Sus scrofa: one gene and its partners. The protein of the gene in region 1 purifies or fractionates together with the protein of each later gene. This does not show direct contact. Links are inferred from orthologs where the notes say so. Each region holds a gene or a part of one and is shown in the gene's direction. Other genes may lie near its edges.

Evidence for each region.
Region 2: the proteins of RPP21 (region 1) and RPP40 purify together in Homo sapiens (co-immunoprecipitation; 3 studies listed by BioGRID and IntAct, counting the BioPlex papers as one, with this or other methods). This does not show direct contact. The link is inferred for Sus scrofa from reciprocal best matches to the Homo sapiens genes RPP21 and RPP40.
Region 3: the proteins of RPP21 (region 1) and RPP30 purify together in Homo sapiens (co-immunoprecipitation; 3 studies listed by BioGRID and IntAct, counting the BioPlex papers as one, with this or other methods). This does not show direct contact. The link is inferred for Sus scrofa from reciprocal best matches to the Homo sapiens genes RPP21 and RPP30.

What each region holds. Positions count from the first base shown.
Region 1 is NC_010449.5:23,061,170-23,067,850, forward strand, and holds RPP21 (ribonuclease P protein subunit p21), read left to right. Parts: upstream 1-3,196; 5' UTR 3,197-3,272; coding exon 3,273-3,329; intron 3,330-3,405; coding exon 3,406-3,506; intron 3,507-3,625; coding exon 3,626-3,708; intron 3,709-4,710; coding exon 4,711-4,836; intron 4,837-4,979; coding exon 4,980-5,077; 3' UTR 5,078-5,118; downstream 5,119-6,681. Other genes in the region: TRIM39 (tripartite motif-containing protein 39), read left to right, coding at 1-317. UniProt on the Homo sapiens protein: Component of ribonuclease P, a ribonucleoprotein complex that generates mature tRNA molecules by cleaving their 5'-ends.
Region 2 is NC_010449.5:3,001,147-3,008,444, reverse strand, and holds the start of RPP40 (ribonuclease P protein subunit p40), read left to right. Parts: upstream 1-3,145; 5' UTR 3,146-3,202; coding exon 3,203-3,325; intron 3,326-3,712; exon of another isoform or gene 3,713-3,951; intron 3,952-4,873; coding exon 4,874-5,018; intron 5,019-6,188; coding exon 6,189-6,257; intron 6,258-7,298. UniProt on the Homo sapiens protein: Component of ribonuclease P, a ribonucleoprotein complex that generates mature tRNA molecules by cleaving their 5'-ends. Also a component of the MRP ribonuclease complex, which cleaves pre-rRNA sequences.
Region 3 is NC_010456.5:102,562,654-102,569,954, forward strand, and holds the start of RPP30 (ribonuclease P protein subunit p30), read left to right. Parts: upstream 1-3,148; 5' UTR 3,149-3,399; coding exon 3,400-3,481; intron 3,482-5,503; coding exon 5,504-5,559; intron 5,560-6,687; coding exon 6,688-6,744; intron 6,745-7,301. UniProt on the Homo sapiens protein: Component of ribonuclease P, a ribonucleoprotein complex that generates mature tRNA molecules by cleaving their 5'-ends. Also a component of the MRP ribonuclease complex, which cleaves pre-rRNA sequences.

The sequences.
Region 1 (6,681 bases):
TGAGCCGGAAGGGCGAGCTGACCCCACTCCCTGAGACTGGCTACTGGCGGGTGCGGCTGTGGAACGGCGACAAGTATGCAGCCACCACCACGCCTTTTACCCCTTTGCACATCAAGGTGAAACCCAAGCGGGTGGGCATATTCCTAGACTATGAGGCCGGCACACTGTCTTTTTATAACGTCACAGACCGCTCTCACATCTACACCTTCACCGATACTTTTACTGAAAAACTTTGGCCCCTCTTCTACCCAGGCATCCGGGCTGGTCGGAAGAATGCTGCACCATTGACCATCAGACCCCCAACAGATTGGGAGTGACAGGTAGGGACATGGGAATAATCAGGGTGAGGCAGGGTCAAGAGCTACGGGCCTTCCTTCCTGTGACCTGCTGGAGCGTCTTCATGTCTGCTGGTTCCAGTCCTGAACCATCTGGGAGAACACCATGGTTTCTAGAATGGTTTATGTGGAGGAGTAGGTAGGACTGGGCTGGGACGAGAGCACGCTGTGTCTCCCTCCTAACTGTCAGGGTGGGGAGCTGGTTCCCAGGGGGTTGTCGCCCCTGAAGTCCATCAGGTTTTCTGTTGCACAGGATGGGTTGGGAAGGAAGGAGAGGCTTTTCCAGAAACAACAAGTCTATAGGAGGGTCTGACTTGCTCGAGTCAGAGGAGGAAACCAAAACCCCTGTACATCCTTTTAGGGGGTTTCTTTGACCCAGAATGGTCTGGTTTCTTTAGGAAGATCACAGGGGTCTCTGTACCTCTAGACTGAAATTAAGTTGAATGACAGTTGCTCTCGTGGGTCTAGAAGTTGAGGAGTTTTGTTCAGGGCAGAGATTGGGCATCAAGGTTAGAAAGAAGGTTTAAAAAAAAAGAGCTAGAAGGTTAAAAAAAAAAAAACTTAAGAAAGAAGGTTAGGAAAGGGGGCTAAAGAAACAGATTCCTAAAGACTGCTGAAGAGAAGAGTGGCTTTGGTTGCCATCATGGGTAGGACTGACCGGAGGTAGGAATGCGGGGAAGAAAGAGAACCCAGGTCTCTGCCTCAGCCTTCAGCAGAGCTGGCTTATCACCTGCCTCCTTGTAGTTGCTCGTCTCTAAGAGCTGTTACCTTGCTCATCTGGAGAGGCAAGGTGCAGGAGCTCCTGCAAGACGTGTCTACCCCTTCACTGCTTTCCCAACCTGGAGAGGAGAGAGTCAGGTATTAGAAGAAAGAGAAAAGTATTCCTATCCAAAGCCCCTGCCTTAAAGAATGCTACTGAGTAGCTGCTCCCAAGTTGTCAGCCTTGTTACCTGGCTAAGGTGTCCAAGCTGGACGGGGGAAAGAAAATGGAGTCTTCCTCACCCTGGGACAGGGTAGAAGGGGGTGGTATGTATAGGGAAGGGCCAGATAGGCAACTTCCTTTGGCCTGTGTGCATATGGCCTGGAACTAGTGTTCACAAGAGCCAATTTTTTTGCTTGTTTGTTGCCATCCTTCACCTTTTGCCATTTCTCCTATCAGAGAATGTAAGTCATTTTTATGTTAGGCCAAAATAAACAAACTGTAGGGTACATATGTTGTCAAAAAAGGTAAAGCAATGCATGCCAAACCAAACTAAAATGACTGGATTATCTGCTACTTGGGTAATCAGGGGTTCACTGAAGATTAGGATAAGAAACTGCAGTTTATTGAGGGCATTTCAGCTCCTCCTACCACCTCAACAGGACTTTGTCCAGACTCTCCTCTTACCTTTGTGCCTTGACTGTGGTTCTTTGTGGCAAGATGCTTTGGTTGGTAAAACAAAATATGGAACAAAGGATCCACTGAAGTGATCTCTGTGTCGTGTGGTAATTTGATGACAGCTTCTGTTGATGTATACGATTCTTTGGTGTTAAAAATGCATGTTCCTGGGCCCACCCTCAGTGATTTGTCCCAATCTGGGATGAGCCTGGGCATGTACCTTTTTTTTTTTTTTAATGACCGCACCTGCTGCATATGGAGGTTCCCAGGCTGGGGGTTGAATCGGAACTGCAACTGCCAGCCTACATCATAGCCACAGCAACACCAGATCCTTAACCCAATGAGCGAGGCTAGGGATCAAACCCCCCTCATGGATACTAGTCAGGTTCCTTTCCACCGAGCCTTTTAAAGAATACTTCTCATTTGAGTCTGGGGACTGTTCTGAAACTTATCCAAGAGGAAATTTCAGCCATTTCCTTCAAGCTGGAGGCCTGGTTCCCTATCCAGCCTGACGGGGGTTGAGAGAAGAGAGAACTCTCATCCTCTCCTGACTTGGGCTGCCCTCTCCCTATCTCAGGGATTATTCCTGTTCTGTGGCTCTACATCTAAACCTCAGGACACAGTGATTATTAACTATGAAACAGAGGTAAACATATGATGTCCAATAGCAAACAGAGTCAGAAGGCAAGGGGAGGGATATGAAGCATTATATATGTCTGTGCTGGGGGAGAGGGGGTGTTGTTGACATGTTCCTGTACTCTCCCCTACTGCGTGTCCAGAACGGCATGACAGGAAGTGTGTTTCTTTAAGTGGAATAGATTGGGAGTAAGCTGGGCTTTCTGAAGGCCAGGAGCCCTCTTCCTCGACTCTTTCCAGCTTCCCCACCACTGGCGCCAGTGCTTCTTTTGAGTATATAACCCACTCCTTTAGTCTGTAGATCTTCCAGGCCATCTGCCTTTGGCTTCAGGAGCATAGGGCAGGAAGTAGCTGGGTATGAATTGTGCATAACCATCTCCCCAACCTACCTGCACAAAGAGACCAGTCTTCTGTCCTGAAAATGTTTAGCAGTTTAAGATTTTCTCCGGCTCCACTGGTCTCTCCAGTCTTTATCTAATATTATCGTGGGCATGAGGAAGACTAAAAGGAAGCCAAGGAGTTCCCTTGTGGCTCAGCGGAAATGAATGTGACTAGTATTCATGAAGATGCAGATTTGATCCCTGGCTTCGCTCAGTGGGTTGGGGGGGCTCCGTCCTTACTACGCTGTAGCGTAGGTCGCAGACGTGGCTCGAATCCCATGTTGCTGTGGCTGGGGCGGGGCGGGGTTGTTGGGGGTGGAGACAAAGCAAAACATAGACACCCCCTGGTTTGGATTACCCGCAGCAGGTGGGTTTGCAATTAGATGGGTTTGTGCGGCCGCACGGTGGCGCCGGATTGAGGAATGCCCACGGCCCCCAGGAACTACACTTCCCAGGAGGCTTTGCGCGGACGCCCCGGGCGGGGCTACCTCCAAGAGCGGGGCCTGTGAACTTTAGGGTGCGGAGCTGCCGCGCGCGGAGTGGATGGCGGGGCAGGTGAAGGACCGCGAGGCCTTCCAGAGACTCAGCTTCTTGTATCAGGTGAGTCTGCGTCGCAGCCCGCGCGTACGGAAGTGGTCCAGGGTGGCGGGCCCCCAGTGACGGCTCCGTCCCTCAGGCCGCCCATTGCGTTCTCGCGCAGGACCCGGAGAACCAGGCGCTAGCGAGGTTTTACTGCCACACGGAGAGGACCATAGCGAAGCGGCTCGTCTTGCGGCGGTGAGAGGGGCACGAAGCCCGACGGCGGTGGGCGAGTCCAGGGAAGGACGGGAGGGAGAGAGCAGGCGCCTAGACCATTATCCGCAGGCGCCTAGACCATTATCCACTTCCGCCTCCAGGGACCCCTCGGTGAAGAGGACCCTCTGCCGTGGCTGCTCTTCCCTCCTCATTCCGGGCCTGACCTGCACCCAGCGCCAGCGACGTGAGTGCTCCCTTCTGCTGGGGAATGTCCGTGGGCTGGGGGAGGGGAGGGCAAGTCTCCTTCCCGGGTTTAAATGGGTGCCAGGTGTGGGATATGGAGGCGGAGGCTTTCTCTAGCTCTGAGTTAAATTAACTCCGCCTGGATAGACTAGGTCTGGGCAGTAGAGAAATGATGTTGCCTTGAGAGGCGCCTCGCCCGTGCGTGATAATAGATGTTATTTGGCACCTGGAAGACATGCTTTCCATCTTCATTTATTCATTCAACTGTTATTTTTTGAGATGTGTCCGGCATTGCGCTAGAGTGTGATGGGACAAAGTAAGACAGAAACAATTAGAATAGCATAGAAATAGAGTTCCCGTTGTGCCTCGGCGGGTTAGTGTCCGTGAGAATGCAGGTTCGATCCCTGGCCTCTCTCAGGGAGTTAAGGATCCAGCGTTGCCCCAAGCTAGGGTGTAGGTCGCAGATGCAGCTCCGATCCTGCGTGACTGTGGTGTAGGCCTCGGTTGCAGCTCTGATTCAACCCCTAGCGGGAGAACTTCGCATAAGCCACAGGTGAGGCATGAAAAAGAAAATAGAATAGCATAGAAAATGCTTTAATTGGGGGACTAGTATACAAATTACTTCAACTACTGATGGTGAGGTTCATTATAAGCAAAGGGAGTGGGAAATGGAAATCCTAGGTGTTTGTATTAGACCTCAGACCAAAGAGCTTGTGGTCCTCCAAGCTCAGGAGGCTGGAGTTTGAGGTGGGCAAAGGCAAGACATGAGGCTGGAGAGGGAAACAGGGTAGACCTGAAGAATCTTGTTAAGGAGTTTGGATTTTATCTTAAAGGGCACCAAGAAATTGACAGTGTTTATGCAGGGACCTGACACCATCAAATGTGTATGCAAAGTACAGAGGGGATGGAATCCCTACTGGAGAACAGTGGAGGCAAAACTGGGTACAGGAGACCTTTTCTTTTCCTAAACGTGGACACTCTCTTTTCCCCACATGCACGCCAGGCTGCAAGGGTCAGCGCTGGACTGTACAGACCTGCCTAACATGCCAGCGCAGCCAGCGGTTCCTCAACGATCCTAGGCATCTGCTCTGGGGCGACCGGCCTGAGGCCCAGCTAGGGAGCCAGACAGGTGAGAGGTGGTAAAGGAAATGGGGGTACCTTCTGGGCGTTGAAGCAGTGGGTAACATAGAGCTGCTAAGGACATGTAGGTGAGTTCTGGGTTGGTGTGAAAGGTGCCAAGGCTTACAAAATTAATTCTGCTCATCTACTCAGATCCCACACCACCACAGCCCCAGCCAAACACAGCCAACCCCATCCCAGCCCACCTTCCTGAGGAGAAAGTGCAGCCTCAGAGCTCCAGTCACCAGTGATGGATTTACCCTACCTTCCAAATAAACTTTAATTCTGTTTAACTTTGCGTGATTCTGTTCTGTGAGTACTTAAGCTCTGAACTCCGTTTTTCTCTGTTTCTGTCTGTATTTCTCTGTCACCAGCTAACCTCTTCTTTGTTCTTTTTGTCCTTTGTCTTGATCATCCTCACACTCCCACTATTCAGGGAGATGCCAATGTCTATAGACCACTTGGCCCCACCAAGCAGCCCCCATTTCCAGGACTGTGACAGCAGTGCCCCTCCACTCCTGCTTCCTCAGTGCTGTGCCACATCTGGAGCTCAGGCTCCAGGGTTGCCTGTAAGGGTGCAAGCCTTCCTAGGGCTAGGGCAGCCCATCAACAGCCAAAGCCACAGCAACACAGGATCCAAGCCGAGTCTTTGACCTACACTACATCTCACAGCAATGCCAGGTCTTTTTACCCAATGAGTGAGGCCAGGGATCAAACCCGAGTTGTCATGGATCCTAGCGGGGTTCATTACCACTGAGCCACAACAGGAACTCCCCTGATGCTTTGTTTGTGTTTTTTGTTTTTGTCTTTTGTCTTTTTAGGGCCGCACCTGCAATGTATAGAGGTTCCCAGGCTAGGGGTCCAATCGGAGCTGTAGTTGCCAGCCTACACCACAACCATAGCAACTCGGGATCTGAGCCGCATCTGTGACCTACACCGCAGCTCACAGCAATGCCGAATCCTTAACCCACTGAGCGAGGCTAGGGATCGAGCCTGCCTTCTCATGGATGCCAGTAAGAATTGTTTCCAATGAGCTATGATGGGAACTCCTGATGCTCTGTTTAAATGAAGAAAAAAAGTTCGGGTGAGGTTGGCAAAGGGAGGGTTCAGATTCTCCAGGACCACTTTATTTTGGGTCTTTCCCAATCTCTGGGTTTCTTCTATAAGATTCTAACATGGGAAACTGTACAGGAGTTCCTGCTGTGGCAAAGTGGGTTAAGACTGGCTACAGTGGCTTGGGTCACTGCAGAGATGCAGGTTCAATCCTTGGCCCAGCACAGTGGGTTAAAGGATCCTGCATTGTCACAACTGTGGCATGGGCCACAGCTGCAGCTCGAATTCAATTCCTGGCCCAGAACTTTCCACAGGCCACAGGTGCTGCCAAAAAAGAGAGAAACTATACAACCTGAACTAACAAAAGGACAGGCAGGAGTTCCTGTTGTGGCTCAGTGGTAAAGAACCCCACTCGTATCCATGAGTTTCAATCCCTGGCCTCACTCAGCAGATTAAAGATCTGGCATTGCCGTGAGCTGTGGTGTAGGTTGCAGACATAGCTCAGATCCCACATTGCTGTGGCTGTGGTGTAAGCTGGCATCTATAACTCTTATTGGACCCTAGCCTAGGAATCTCCATATGCCACAGGTATGGCCCTAAAAAGACCAAAAAAAAAGACTCTGGCAGATATTATACAAGTATGCTCTGTAGGTAAACCATGAGCAGGTTTGGGGAAGTCTAGGGGTGTTTAAAAAAAAAAAAGTTTACTTGAAAATTGGTAATAAAAAATTGTTTTATTTGATATCCCTGGAGGATACTCAAGGACAGATTTTCAGATTGACCTCTTTGCTAGGTGCCAGGT
Region 2 (7,298 bases), about 20 Mb from region 1:
CTTTCTCTTTCTGGGTTACTTCACTTTGTTGCATCCATGTTGCGGCAAATGGCATCATTTCATTTGTTTTTATGGCTGAGTAGTATTCCACTGTGTACACAGGTACTGTATCTTCTCCATCCACTCCTATGTCAATGAACATTTAGGTTGCTTCCATGTCTTGGCTACTGTGAATAGTGCTGCTATGGATGTAGGGGTAGATGTATCTTTCTGGTTTGCTTTTGTTTCTTTTGTCTTTTGTCTTTTTAGGGCTGTACCCTGGCACATGGAAGTTCCCAGGCTAGGGGTCAAAACGGAGCTGCAGCCACCAGCCTTCGCCACAGCCACAGCAACACCAGAGCCAAGCCTTGTCTGCGACTTACACCAGAGGTCACAGCAACGCCAGATCGTTAACCCACTAAGTGAGGCCTGGAATTGAACTTGCGTCCACATGGGTGCTAGTCAGATTTGTTTCTGCTGAGCCACAACAGGAACTCCTTTTTACTGTCCTTTTTTTTTTTTTTTTTTTTTTGGCTTGCATGTATCTTTCTTTCTTTCTTTTTTTTTTTTTTTTTTTTTTTTTTTTGTCTTTTTGCTATTTCTTTGGGCCGCACCCTCGGCATATGGAGGTTCCCAGGCTAGGGGTTGAATCGGAGCTGTAGCCACCGGCCTACGCCAGAGCCACAGCAACGCGGGATCCGAGCCGCGTCTGCAACCTACACCACAGCTCACGGCAACACCGGATCCTTAACCCACTGAGCAACGGCAGGGACCGAACCCGCAACCTCATGGTTCCTAGTCAGATTCGTTAACCACTGCGCCACGACGGGAACTCCTGCATGTATCTTTCTGAATGATAGTTTTGTCTGGGTATATGATATACCCAGGAGTGGGATTGCTGGATCATACCATTACTCGATCCTTAGTTTTCTGACTGGAGACTGTTCTCCATAGCGGCCGTACCGAGTTAGCCTTCCCACCAACCATGTAGGAGGGTTCCCTTTTCTCCACATCCTCTCCAGCATTTCTTATTTGTAGGGCATTTTTAGCTTCTAATCTCAGAAACCCCGATGGCAGTCCATGGCTGGGAGAAGAGCACAGTGCATGAGTCTGGAGCTAGAGCCCATCCTTGCACATGGAATTAGGTTTTGTCTTCTTTTTGTCTTTTCTTTTTTTTATGGCTGCACCTATGGCATATGGAAGTTCCCAGGCTAGGGGTCAAATTAGAGCTGCAGCTGCCGGCCTACCCCACAACCACAGCAACTTGGAATCCTTAACCCACTGAGTGAGGCCAAGGATCGAACCCACATCCTCATGGATACTGGTTGGATTTGTCACTGCTGAGCCACAATGGTAATGCCATAATTTTTTTTCAAAAAAAATTGAAAAAAATTCCAAATATTATGTGCCAAATCTTTGTATTTAGTAAGTTTATTTATTTAGTAAGTTTTTAAGAATAGGATCAGGAATTCCTGTCATGGCTCAGTGGAAACGAATCTGACTAGCATTCATGAGGACGCGGGTTCGATCCCTAGCCTGTCTCCGTGGGTTGAAGGATCAGGTGTTGTTCAATAGTTGTTGAGAAGCAACTGCTATTGAATTGTGTGGTAACCAAGAAGTATTGCTTTAAGTATTTTATATTCTAATACAATATTCATAAGTTACATCTAGATGCCATATTGTGATTTAGGATATTGGTAGTTGTTTGATTGACTTGCTATTCCTTCTTTCTCCTACTTAAAATAATGGAAAATAGGTTTTGCTTAGAGTGCTCTGAGATAATCTGACATTTGAGGCATAGGTCGCTGACATTAATGGCAGAAGATTTTCCAGTCTGTCTTCGTTTTATTATATATATATATATATATATATATATATTTGCTTTTTAGGGCCCCACCCTGGAGGTTCCTAGGCTAGGGGTTGTTGAATCAGAGTTACAGCTGCCGGCCTACGCCACGGCTCGCGGCAACGCAGGACCCTTAACCCACTGAATGAGGCCAGGCATCACACACACATCTTCATGGATACTAGTCGGATTTGTTTCCGCTGAGCCACAACGGGAATTCCGTCTTAGTTTTGGAATTGCAAATACTTACCCCCTAAATCACTTAACTTCTGTCCTTCCAAATCTTTTAGTAAAATTAATGCTCCAGAAAGGTGTATCACAAATACTCTGTTTGCATCCTCTGTGTAGAACTGGGGCTGTGCATCCTCCAGTTTGAAAAGCGTGGAGTAGTACAGTACTTGGAGTTAAGCAGAAAAATTAGATGGAAAAATGAGTTATCACTATAACCTCCAAGAGCAACAAATTATTAAAAGCAGTTCCACATTGCTGTGGCTGTGGTGTAGGCCAGCAGCTACACCTCGGATTTGACCTCTAGCCTGGGAACCTCCATATGCCAGCGGGTGCAGCCCTAAAAACAAAAACAAAGTTGCAAAAGGGGATTCCCGCCTGGAGCAGTGGACTAAGGTCTGAAGTTGTCACTGCAGCGGCTGGGGTCACTGCTGTAGCTCAGGTTCCGTTCACATGCCACATGAGCAGCCAAAAAAAGTTCCAAAAAGATATGTAAAAAAGGATGTTAAAAGTAGTTCTGGGGAGTTCCCATCATGGCGCAGTGGTAACGAATCCGACTAGGAACCATGAGATTTCGGGTTCAATCCCTGACTTTGCTCAGTGGGTTAAGGACCCGGTGTTGCTGTGAGCTGTGGTGTAGGTTGCAGACGCGGCTCGGAACCTGTGTTGCTGTGGCTGTGGTGTAGGCCGACGGCTACAGCTCCGATTGGACCCCTAGCCCGGGAACCTCCTCCATATGCCGCGTGTGCGGCCCAAGAAATAGCAAAAAGACAAAAAAAAAAAAGAAAAATTAACTCGGAAGAAGTCTTAAGGAGTCCTATTGAAGGTACTGAGTACTACCTTTCTACGCAAAAGTTTGTGTAGAACTTGGGAAGGAGCAACCCCAGTCTAGAGAAAGGATTCAGGCAAGAGCATTCATTTCGGGCAGCGCACCTTCCCAGTACCCACCAGCGAGTTTTGCCCTGGGTTCACCGTCAGCCTAGTCCCGCACTCTGCGTCAGCCCCGCCCCTACCCTGGCCGCCTGAACACGTGTGGCCTGCAGGCACTGCGCATGCCCGCGGCGAAGGGGCGGGGCGGGCGAGGAGGGGCGGGGCGGGCGAGGAGGGGCGGGGCTAGCCGAGCCCCGGCAGGGCCCGCGCGGGGAGAGTATGGCCACGCTGTGCAGGCTGCGGGAGGTTCCCCGGCACTTGCTGGTCTGCGAGAAGTCCAACTTCGGCCACGACAAGTCGCGCCACCGGCATATCGTGGAGACGCACTATTACAATTACAGGGTAAGTCTCCGCCCTGAGACCGCGAACCGAGCTCCATAGCGCGGAGGAGAGGGAGGCTTGGGACAGCCGGGCTCTCTTCCTCGGGAGCCCGCCCTCGGCGTGCGGAGGGGCTTGGGCCTCTCCAGGCATGCTGGGAACTGTAGTCTCCTAGCCTGTTCGGGTCTGCGGTTTGCCCCGCTACAGGACTACAACTCCCAGGATGCGCCGGCGCGGGGCGGTGTCCCGCCGTTGGAGGAAGGAGCGGGGCGGCGTGCGGCTGGCCGCTTGTTCCCACCGGGTCGCAGATTGGGCGCGTCCCGGGAGGGGCGGGGCCGGGGGTAGGCGGGCAATGCCCCGCACGTGGTCCGAACCGGACTCGCTCTTCCACAAACCGGTTTCCTTTCCCAGTGCGCCCGCCCGCGGGGGTCTTTCCTGAGCACCGCGCGCCGTCTGGCCGGGAGGCTGCTGGCTGTTCTGATCCGCCCCTCGGCCCTGGTTAGACGTCTGAGACACTGTGCCTTTTGCTTGGTGCCTTCCGCGATGTCCCACGGAAGCGAACCTTCTCGCCATCTCTTTGGCAGAAAGGCGCCGAGGTGGCCCTGCTCGCGAGCACGTAAGAGCGATGTTCGCTGTTGCCTCGTGAAAAGGTCAAGCTCACGGGGCGCCTTTTTCGTGGGTGCGGCGGGCGAGGCACCAGGGAGGTTAATTATTGGTTTATCCAGCATCTGCTGAGAGTAGAAAACTTCTGTAGCTCCCAGGCAAGTGTCTGGTGGGCCAGCTTCACCAACCCATTTAAGTGGAGGGGGCTTCAAAAAACCTTAAAATGAAAATGGCTTAAGCCTTTTATACTTTAAATCGATGAGCCTAATTTCAACTCGGGCCTGACCGGCCCCATCCTCAGACACAAGTGGTGACGCTGGTTCCTCTGGGCCAGACTGGTGTCCCAGCTTTGGGTGCGTGGTTTTTCAGGGTGTGGAGCACTTGGGCAGCATTTGAAATCTTTCAGGTTGAGTATCTCTGCTTTGGATGGAGAGCTCGTCACAGGCAGCCTGGGATGTGTTCCTTACCTCCCCGGTCTCATCTGTAGAGTTTTTCTACCTGAAAAGTGGAAACATCCAGCAGACTTCTGCTTCTTTGAAGCCTCATAATAATTGGCGTCCCTAAATTCCTTATGCCCTAAGGGACAGTTCCTTTGGTTCCAGCCTGGTACCAGGTGTAGGGATATTCCGCTGTCCGCTACGCAGATCTGGGGATGTGCACTTGTACCATATTTTCCTAAAAGTTAATTCATGTAGTGAAAGGAACAGGACCGAAAATACATCGTTCATTTGCAGAACATAAGACAAAAGCCAGAGCTTTCCATTAAAATTGTTTTGCTCATCAATACAGAAATGAAAAAACCTGGGTGTTGATCTATACGAAAGTCAAACTTGTTTAAACTGTGTCGTGGACTAAAATCTACAAAAACACGCACGCACTCTGCTCTACATGTGAAACGAACACAATGCTATAAGTCCACTATACTTCAGCTTTTAAAAATAAGCCTTGTTATATTCTGCCTACCAATAGGTTTCCTTTCTGATTCCTGAATGTGGGATACTCTCAAAAGAACTGAAAGACCTGGTCATGGCGTTTGGACCTTATTACTCTGTGAAGGATTTACCTCTTCATGAATTAATCACCCACGAATTCATTAATACTTTTGTAAAGAAAGGTAAGAAAAGCCGTGTAGTGTCTGTGAATGTGGTGAGATGACATCCAGGGGGAGGGCACCAAAGTACTAGAGTTCTTCTTGTTTTTTTATTTATTTGTTTCTTTAGGGCTTTTTTTTTTTAGGGCCACAACCAGGGCATATGGAGGTTGCCAGGCTAGGGGTTGAATTGGAGCTATAGCTGCCGGCCTACACCACCGCCACAGCAACGCCAGGTCCTTAACCCACTGAGCGGGGCCAGGGATGCAGCCCAAATCCTCATGGATACTAACGGCTGAGTCATGTTCTTAAGTGCTGAGCCCTGACGGGAACTCATTTATTTATTTATTTGGCCATGCCCTCGGCGTGTAGAAGTTCCCAGGCCAGCGATTAAACCCAAGTCACAGCAGCGACCTGAGCCACTGCAGCGACAACACTAGATCCTTAACCTGCTGAACTGCACGGGAGCTGCCGCTTCTCCTGTTTGAGTAGGGCTGGCAGAGACCGTCTGTGTGGTCCCTTCATCTCCCAGTGTGTGCGCTCATTAGATGGTGGTTTCTGCTTTTTTTGTGGCGGGGGCCACACCTGCGGCATATGGAAGTTCCCAGCCTGGGGGTTGAATCGGAGCTACAGCTGCTGGCCTACACCACAGCCACAGCAACGCGGGATCCAAGCTACGTCTGTGACAGACCACAGCTCACGGCAAAATGCCAGATCCTTAACCCACTGAGCGAGGCCAGGCATTGAACCTGTCTCCTCCTGGAGGCGCGTCAGAGTCCTTCCTGCTGAGCCACGACAGGAACTCCTGAGTAGCTTTCTTGACTTGAACGCAAGTTCCTGGCGCAGTTGAGTCTTCACCTGGCCTCTCCCTCTCAGGTGTGCACAGTCACCTACCCGCTCACCTCCTGCCTCTCTGCCAGCATCCCCAAGGGTACGCACTCCATCCTGAGTCCATTTTCTGTGCGATGGTAGAGTCCGCGGGCACCAGCAGGCCCCGGGCGCCGACGTGGACGAGCCATGCTTGGCCTTCGTGTCCTCCAGCTTTGCTTTGTCGGGTCGGAGGGCCCCTGAGGGAGCTGGAGCTGGAGCAGTGACCCGGAAGATGGTGTCATCACGTGAAAATACTCCAGCAGCCTTTGCAGGAGTGGCCTTTTTTTTCTCGCCTTCGTTCTCCTCTGGGCTTTTCGTTTCCAGGTTCGTGCTCTGCCCTAACGTACAACGCGAACATCGACGAGGATAACGCTGCCGCCCTCCTGCCCAACGGTAACGACTTGCGTTTTTCATTCTGTCTGTAATTGTAAAGGAAGTACGCCCTGTAAAAAAGAAAATGCCAGGGCTCCAGGGGAAGAGTGGAAGCCCCCTTCATCCCCTTCCCTCCGAACTCACTCCCCTTCCTGGAAGAACTGTTGTTAGCAGGGTGCTGTTTATTCTTCTAGACGTGTTCTGTGAATTTATAGACACACAGACCCCGGCCTGGCTGCACCTGCGGCATAGGGAAGTTCCCAGTCCAGGGATCGAATCTGAGCTGCAGCTGCAACACCACCAGATCCTTAACCCGTGGCACCACAGCGAGAAGTCCCCCGGGTGGTTCTTTTTTTATAAAATACCTGTCGTACTCCATTTTCTCGTTTTGCCTTTTTCCCAAACTGTATGTCATAGACAGCTCTCGATTGTAGTGCATGAAGTTTTAATTTACCTTTTTTTTTGCTTTGCTTTTTAGGGTTGCACTGATGGCAAATGGAGGTTCCCAGACTAGGGGTCCAATCGGAGCTACAGCTGCCGGCCTACACCACAGCCCCAGCAACATAGGATCCGAGCCACGTTTGCAACCTACACCACAGCTCATGGCAGCACCTTACCGTGAGCTGAGGTTAACATCCGTAACCCACTGAGGAGGCCAGGGATCAAACCCGCAACCTCATGGTTCCTAGTCGGAGTTGTTTCCGCCGAGCCACGTCGGGAACTCCTAATCTACCATTTTTTTTTTTTTTTTTAATCTACCATTTTTAATGTTTTAAAAAAACATTCTATACAAAGAACTGTATTCATTTATACATTTATTTATTCTTTCAGTAGAAATTTAGGTAATTCTAATTTCACTGTAATAAATAATTTCTTTATACATATAATGTTTAAATAATACCTTCATATTGTAAAATATAAATATGTATAAACGGTACCCTCGTATTATAAGAAGATGTATGTATTAATACATAATAATATCCTTGAATCTTAAGTAAGAGTCCTTGTGTGCCCTGGTATTTAACTGCACAATTTGCCTTGGTTTCTCTTAGAGAACACATA
Region 3 (7,301 bases), on another chromosome or scaffold:
AATCGGGTGCAAGAAATAAAATAATTGGCCAAAGGAAAACAAAGACCAAGAACTGTCCTACAGAAGTGACTTTTTTTTTTTTTTTTTTTTTTTTTTTTGTCTTTTTGCCTTTTTTCTTGAGCTGCTCCTGCAGCATATGGAGGTTCCCAGGCTAGGGGTCTAATTGGAGCTGTAGCCACCGGTCTACACCAGAGCCACAGCAACACAGGATCCGAGCTGCGTCTTCAACCCACACCACAGCTCACGGCAATGCCAGAGCCTTAACCCACTGAACAAGGCCAGGGAATGAACCTGCAACCTCATGGTTCCTGGTCGGGTTCGTTAACCACTGTGCCACAACAGGAACTCCTATAGAAGTGATTTAAATCTCCTCTCTGGTGCATGCCTCGTTGAGGAGGACATCCAGACCCACACTCCTCTCTAGGGTGTGTACTACTGTCTTGCTCCTGTCATAAACAAACTACTTCTCTGTGTGCTCTCCTGCATGTTGTACTGGGTTTCTAACAATAAACTTTACACTTTTTTTTAATACAGTCTTTCCCTCCTTGAACCATTCTGGCTTTCAGTGGGGGACAAGAATCAGGGTAATTCTGCTTTTAGCCTCCAGCTCATCTAGTGGCTAGGATTCCTGGTTTTCATCCAGGCTTCCCAGGGTTAATTTATGAGCAGAGAATTAAGATCTCACTTCAGCCACCACTCACTGTTGTCTCTCCAAGATCAGGAGGAATGCTTCTCAGCTCACTCAGGAAGGGTGATCCAAATGAGAAGAGGATAAAGCCAAAGACCAACCAAGCGTGCGCTGGCACTGAGGGGCCAGTCCGAGAAAAAGAAGTCTTCAGGGAGACCAAATAGGGCTTGAAGGTTGTTTTGGATATTCAAGCCCACCCTCTCTTTCTCGGCTCCCTAAGGAAGAGGAAATGACTGAAGAGTCATCTTTGAGTCCAGGATTCCTACCTGATATGATATGAAAAACAATAACTCTCTCATGGGCTGGTTGAGAGGATTGGACAGCAGATAGGAATTACATAGAGTAAATCTATAGTCCTATTATGTTCCAGTCAGAAATTTTTCAGTCTTCTTCTAACTCCAGATCCTTGCTGTTGCAGCTACCTATCCAAGTCAACTTTTTTTTTTTTGGTCTTTTTGCTATTTATTGGGCAGCTCCCGTGGCATATGGAGGTTCCCAGGCTAGGCGTCGAATTGGAGCTGTAGCCGCCAGCCTACGCCAGAGCCACAGCAATGCCAGATCCGAGCCGCGTCTGCAATCTACACCACAGCTCAAGGCAACGCTGGATCCTTAACCCACTGAGCAAGGGCAGGGACGGAACACGCGACCTCATGGTTCCTAGTCGGATTCATTCACCACTGCGCCACGACTGGAACTCCCCAAGTCAACTTCTGGCTCCTCTTCCCTTCTCATCTCCCCTATGGCATTCTCTTTTTTCTCTCTTCCCACTCCTCCTTCCCTCTTCTATCTCCTTCCTTTCCTTTCCCTCTCTCCCTACTTCCTCTGTCCTCCCCCTCCATTCATTCTCCCCCCACCCCCGCCCTTCATTCTCCTCTTCCTTTCCCCTGTCTTTACTCCCTCCTCTTTTCCATCCTCCAACTCTCCTCTCTGCTTGCTTTGTCCAGGAGACAGTACATAGAGACATGAGAATAGATCCAAGCCACCTGGATCCACCTGTGGTCCTACCACAATGACCTAAGCCTCAGATGATTCAAATGTAAAATGCAGAGGTTGTGGAAAAAGCAGCACTTAACTCAGTTGTTTTGAAAATTAAACATGCAGGCAACTACTTAGCAAATAGGCTGGCCCTCAGTAGACTGCTCAGTGACTGTCGTTCATTCATTTTCTTTTTCGTCCTTCTTCCTCCCTTCTAAGCCCAGGGTGAAGATAAGAAGTTTAAAGGGTATACAGTCCACAGAAACAGCGTCATGACTTTCAAAGAAAGAAGCCCTCTGTAGTCTAATTCTGGTATCAAATAATGAGTCATCTTATTCACCTTCACCACACATCGGACATATTTCCAAACAATTTAGGTTTTGTGGCTGCAGATGAAGACGCCTATAAAATTAACACTAGATCTTCCTGCAAAATTAACACGAGATTTTCAGATGAGAAGCCAGAGTTTGTTTTATATGACTTTCTTCTATTTGCAGAAGTAAAATTTTCTTCTGTTCTTACTTAGAAAACATCAAATATTAGATAGCAGAAGATTTCTTTTTTATTGAACTTAACCAAAAGGAGAATTACATACTACCACATGGAACAGATCCCTCTTAAAATTCCCTTCTGAGACCAAGAAAGAAGTCATGTAAAGAACAAATCAAGATGTGGCCCACAAACCCGAGACTCTGTGTACTGTCTGTGACAAGTTAGCAAAGAAACGGAAAATGTTTACAAACTTTCACATCCCTTTGGCATAGTCTGGAGATCCAAGCCCCTGATTTGTGGACTCTTATTCAGTCTAGTATAGAGCAGTTCAGATGTTAGATTAATCTTTTGAGGCCAGAGCTGCCTGTGGGTAAAGGACAATGGATCACTACTGGTGCTAGAAGAACTGGTGGAGGGAGGGGGGTTGGGAACTCGGTGAACTGACCCAGTAATCACGGGTACTTTGTAAAGCAGTGATGTAAACTCTAGTTCCAGAGTTTTATGTTCTCGGATAATTAATTTATCACTCTTCAAGAGTTCATGTGTACGAAAATGTGGAACCATCACAACTGTGGGATATATTCCACCTTGTACATCTGTCAGACGGAAAACTGTAAAACATTTCAATTGTGCACCTCCCTTGTCTAACCCATTTTTGGCTAAACACGTGCTGAAGCTAACCGCTTATCCCTGCCAACTCCAGGTTGAGAATACTGGCTGTAATGGAGTTTAGCATGCTGTGCCACCGTCTGTTCTGATTGAGCAAAATGACTTTTTTCTCGAGCAAACCTTTTTCGAGTTGTCAGGTCAGTTTCCCCATCTCCCCATTAAGTCCAATTTAAACAATGGAATGACCTTTAGGGGCGGGAAAGAAAAACGGATTTAAAACCCTTACTTTTTAAGGGTTTCCAGACCTTCTTTCCCTGTAAGTCCTCAATAAATGCTGTATACGTACATTTTGAAAGAATCATTTTCTACATTATTTCACAGGAGGAATGGTGGGCTATGTGAACCCCTTCGAGGGAAACAAAACTTTCCCATCCAGAGGAAGAAGAACTGAAGTGAGGCTGCTGACTTCCACACACTAACTTCTGCTGGGATCCGAAGGCGCTCAAAGAGCCTGGGAACGTCAGTCCGCGGGAGGGACGGGAGGACTGCTTAGGAAAACTGCAATTCCCAGCGTGCCCCGAGGGGGCGGGCCCTGCGGCTGCGCAGACAGCCGCGCAAGTTCACGTGATTTCAGCATGGCGGTGTTCGTGGATTTGGACCTGCGAGCGGGTTCCGACCTCAAGGCGCTGCGTGGGCTCGTGGAGAACGCCGCTTACCGTGAGTCGCCGCGGCTTCGCGAGCAGCGGTGCCTGCCCAGCCTCGCTGCCATCCAGATCGTCGGGCCACGTTCGGAAGGGACGCGGCCGGGCCTCATTCAGGTCTTCTGGGGTCTGGAGGCAGTCTCTGGAAGCTGATGCCTTCTGCGGGGTTGCTGTGATCCCGGGCCCGGGAAACTCGAAAAGCGCTGGGGAACTGTTACCCAGTCCAGCTCCTTCTTTATTGTGAATTGGGGAACTGAGGTCCTAACAGGGCCAGGGACTTATATAGGGCCTCACAGCTGAAGGCTGGCCAAAGCTAGTCTCCACCTGTGCTTTTAATATCGCCCCTTCCTACCTCTCACCACTGTGTACTGACTCAGTCAAATGCGGAAAGCTGGTTGGTGCACAGATGGGGAGTGCTTTGGGTGCTCCGAAAATGGGCGGGGGTGGTGGGACGTGGGGCTGCGAGTGTTGGAATAATGTTATTTAGAGGGAGGGTAGGTTGAGGCGTAGGACACACCAAGAGGTTGGGAAGGGACCAGCATGGCCAGAATGCTAGAATGTTACTCGTATTTGAATCCAAGGAAAGCAGAAGCCCTGAGAGGTAAGATCGTTCTAATCGAAGTTAATCGCGACTTCTGCCTTCTTCCTTAGACTTAAAGTGTCTAAGTGGAGATAGAGGGGTTTAAAAATAAAGACATTTCTTCGAAGTTCCCGGTTGTGGTTCAGCGGTAACAACCTAACTCGTATCCATGAAGATGTGGGTTCTACCCCTGGCTTCTGTCAGCGGGTTAAGGATCCGTCGTTGGGGTGAGCGTCGGTGTACAGATGCGGCTTGAAGTCCGTGTTGCTGTGGCTGTGGTGTAGGCTGGCAGCTATAGCTCTGATTCGACCCCTAGCCTGCGAACTTCCATATGCCACAGGTACGGCCCTAAAAAGCAAAAAAAAAAAAAAAGAGAGAGAGAGAGAGATATCTGCAGGGCCTATCAAGTAATGGATCCTCATTTGAAGGAGGAAAGAAAGAAGGAAATTGGAAAAACTATTGAGAGGGAAGACCACTATCTTGGCATTAATATATGTTATTTATTTATTTAGTCCTTTTAGGGCCGTACCCTTAGGGTATGGAAGTTCCCTGGTTAGGGGTTGAAGCTGCAGCTGCCCACCTATGCCACAGCAACATGGAATCCTGGTGGAGGCTTGAACCTACACCACAGCTCGTGGCAACACTGGATTCTTAATCCACTAAATGAGGCTAGGGATCAGACCTGCAGCTTTTTGGATACTAGTCAGGTTCATTACTGCTGAGCCACAACAGGAACTCCGATATGCATTATTTCTTTAATATTAATATCCTGTCCTCCCCATTGGTGTTTAACTCAACGTTTTAAGTCATGATTTAGATGTATTTTTGGTAGTCCATATGTCCAAAAACAGTGCTGTGTTGAGGCTGATAAACTAGGCTCTGACTTCAGAGAGTTCCCAATCTCTTGTTGGTGGGCAACTCAAAAGGGGATGGGGACAGTGGCATGTAAGGGAGTCCTTATTCCATTTCTCCTTAGCACAGGGGCCTCTGAAAAAGCAGAAGGGGTAAAGAGCAAACAAAATGAGTAAGAATGAAGATAACAGTGAAAAAATATAATTTGATGGGATGAAAATGAAAAAAGGCCTGAAAGAGAATGATGGTTGAAAGGAGATGCACAAAGTTAAGGGTCTTCTGTGTCTTGCTAATAATACATCACCCAGGTCAAACAAAACCCTAACTCTGTGCCAGCCACCATTTTTAAACATGCTATGTGTGTTATCTCATTTAGTTCTCATGACAGTTATATGGGGTAAATTCTGTTATTAACACCATATGATAGATGAAGAAGCTGAAACTTAAAGTAACTTAAGATTTGAAAACTGGCAGTCTGACTCCAGAGCCTGTCCCATAACCATTCTTCTAACTATCTTCTAGTCTTGATATGAATTGGGATGAGCCTATGTGTACAGGGAAGAGAGGTTATTGTATTTAATAAGAATGTTCAATTTTTCTTTTCAGTGGGCTATTCAGTTGTTGCCATCAATCATGTTGTTGAATTTAAGGAAAAGAAACAGGTAAAATACAATTTCTGAAGTTAATAATAACTAGCATTTATAATTATTTGTGTGTATATTTGTAATATAGAAGCTGCAGATGAGCATATTTGTTAAGTTCACTCTTTGTACACTGTCTTTTTTTATTTTTTGTTTATTTTTTTATTTTACCCTTTTTTTTTTTTTTTTTTTAGGGCAGCACCGACGGCGTATGGAAGTTCTCAGGCTAGGGGATGGATCAGAGCTGAAGCTGCCAGCCTATACCACAACCATAGCAACGCCAGGTCCAAGCTGCGTCTGCCACCTTTGCTGCAGCTCATGGCAGTGCCGGATCCTTAACTCGCTGAGCAGGGCCAAGGATCAAACCCACGTCCTCATGGATATTAGTTGACGCACAACAGGAACTCCTTTTTTTTTTTTTTTTTTTTTTTTTTTTTTTTTTGTTAAGTTCTGCATCTGCGGCATATGGAAGTTCCCAGGCCAGGGATTGAGTCTGAGCCATAGCTGCAACCTGCACCGCAGATATGGCAAGGCATGATGCATCAACCCTCTGCACTGGCCTGGGGATTGAACACATACCTCTGCAGCGACCTAAGCTGCTGCAGTCAGAATCTTAACTCACTGTGCCACAACAGGAACTTCTGCACTGTCTTATATGTTAACAGTTGAGCTGATGAATATTTGTGCAAATGATAAGGTTTTTAGTGAAGTGCTAGGGCATGGTATAAGGATTCTTATAGTTGATTTGATGTTAATTAACTTTCAGTAACTTAAAGTGCATTGTTATTGACTAAACTGTAATCACAATATTTAGTTCTTTTTATATTTCTGTCAGTGACTCATGATTTCCCTCTCCAACATGCTAGCAAATATGTATATCTCCCTTCAGGCCAACAGCCATTCCTTACAGATTGTTTCAGTCTCCGAACTATTGTTCATCCCTCCTATCCATTGATATTCTCAGCTGCTGCTCTGCTCTTCAGCTTTCTACGTTAAAAATGACATGCACAACTTGGTGTTTCTGAGTAACAGAAATTTGTTTCGTTTTATTTTTTTAATTATCTTACTGAAAACCTGTTGTAAGTGTTCTGTTATGTTTCATCACATTAACATGTACCATCTAGGGTGACTGTTTGTTGTTTGTTATAGGAAATTGAAAAACCAGTAGCTGTTTCGGAGCTTTTTACAACTTTGCCAGTTGTACAGGTAAGTGCATGGTGTAAGAAGCATAACACCTGTTCATTTGGTTCAGACATGCAGTCATATGTGTGGTTCCCTTCCTCTGTCTACCGGTCTTACTTTCCATAAAGACTCAGCTCTTCCAGAAAGCATTCTCTTACTGTCAATTCAGTACTCTGATCATCTTTCTGAAGTCCTGCAACCTTTAAAATATCTCATCGTGTAGTTTAATATGCATGTTTTTTTCTCTAACTGTGCAGATATATCTCAGAGATATTACAGGTCTGATTTCAGACCACTGCATAAAGTGAGTCACACGAATGTTTTAGTTTCCTGGTGCATATTAAAGCTATGCTTACAGTGTACTGTACTTCAGTAAGTGTGAGGTTAGCATTATGTCTTAAAACTATATATATATATGCCTAATTTAAAAATACCGTATTGCTTAAAAATGCTCACCCTCATCTGTATATTCAGCAAGTTATAATCTTCTTGCTGGTGGAAGCTCTTGCCTTGATGCTAAAGGCTGCTGATGGATCAAGGTGGCAGATGCTGAAGATTGGGGTGGCTATGGCACTTTGTTT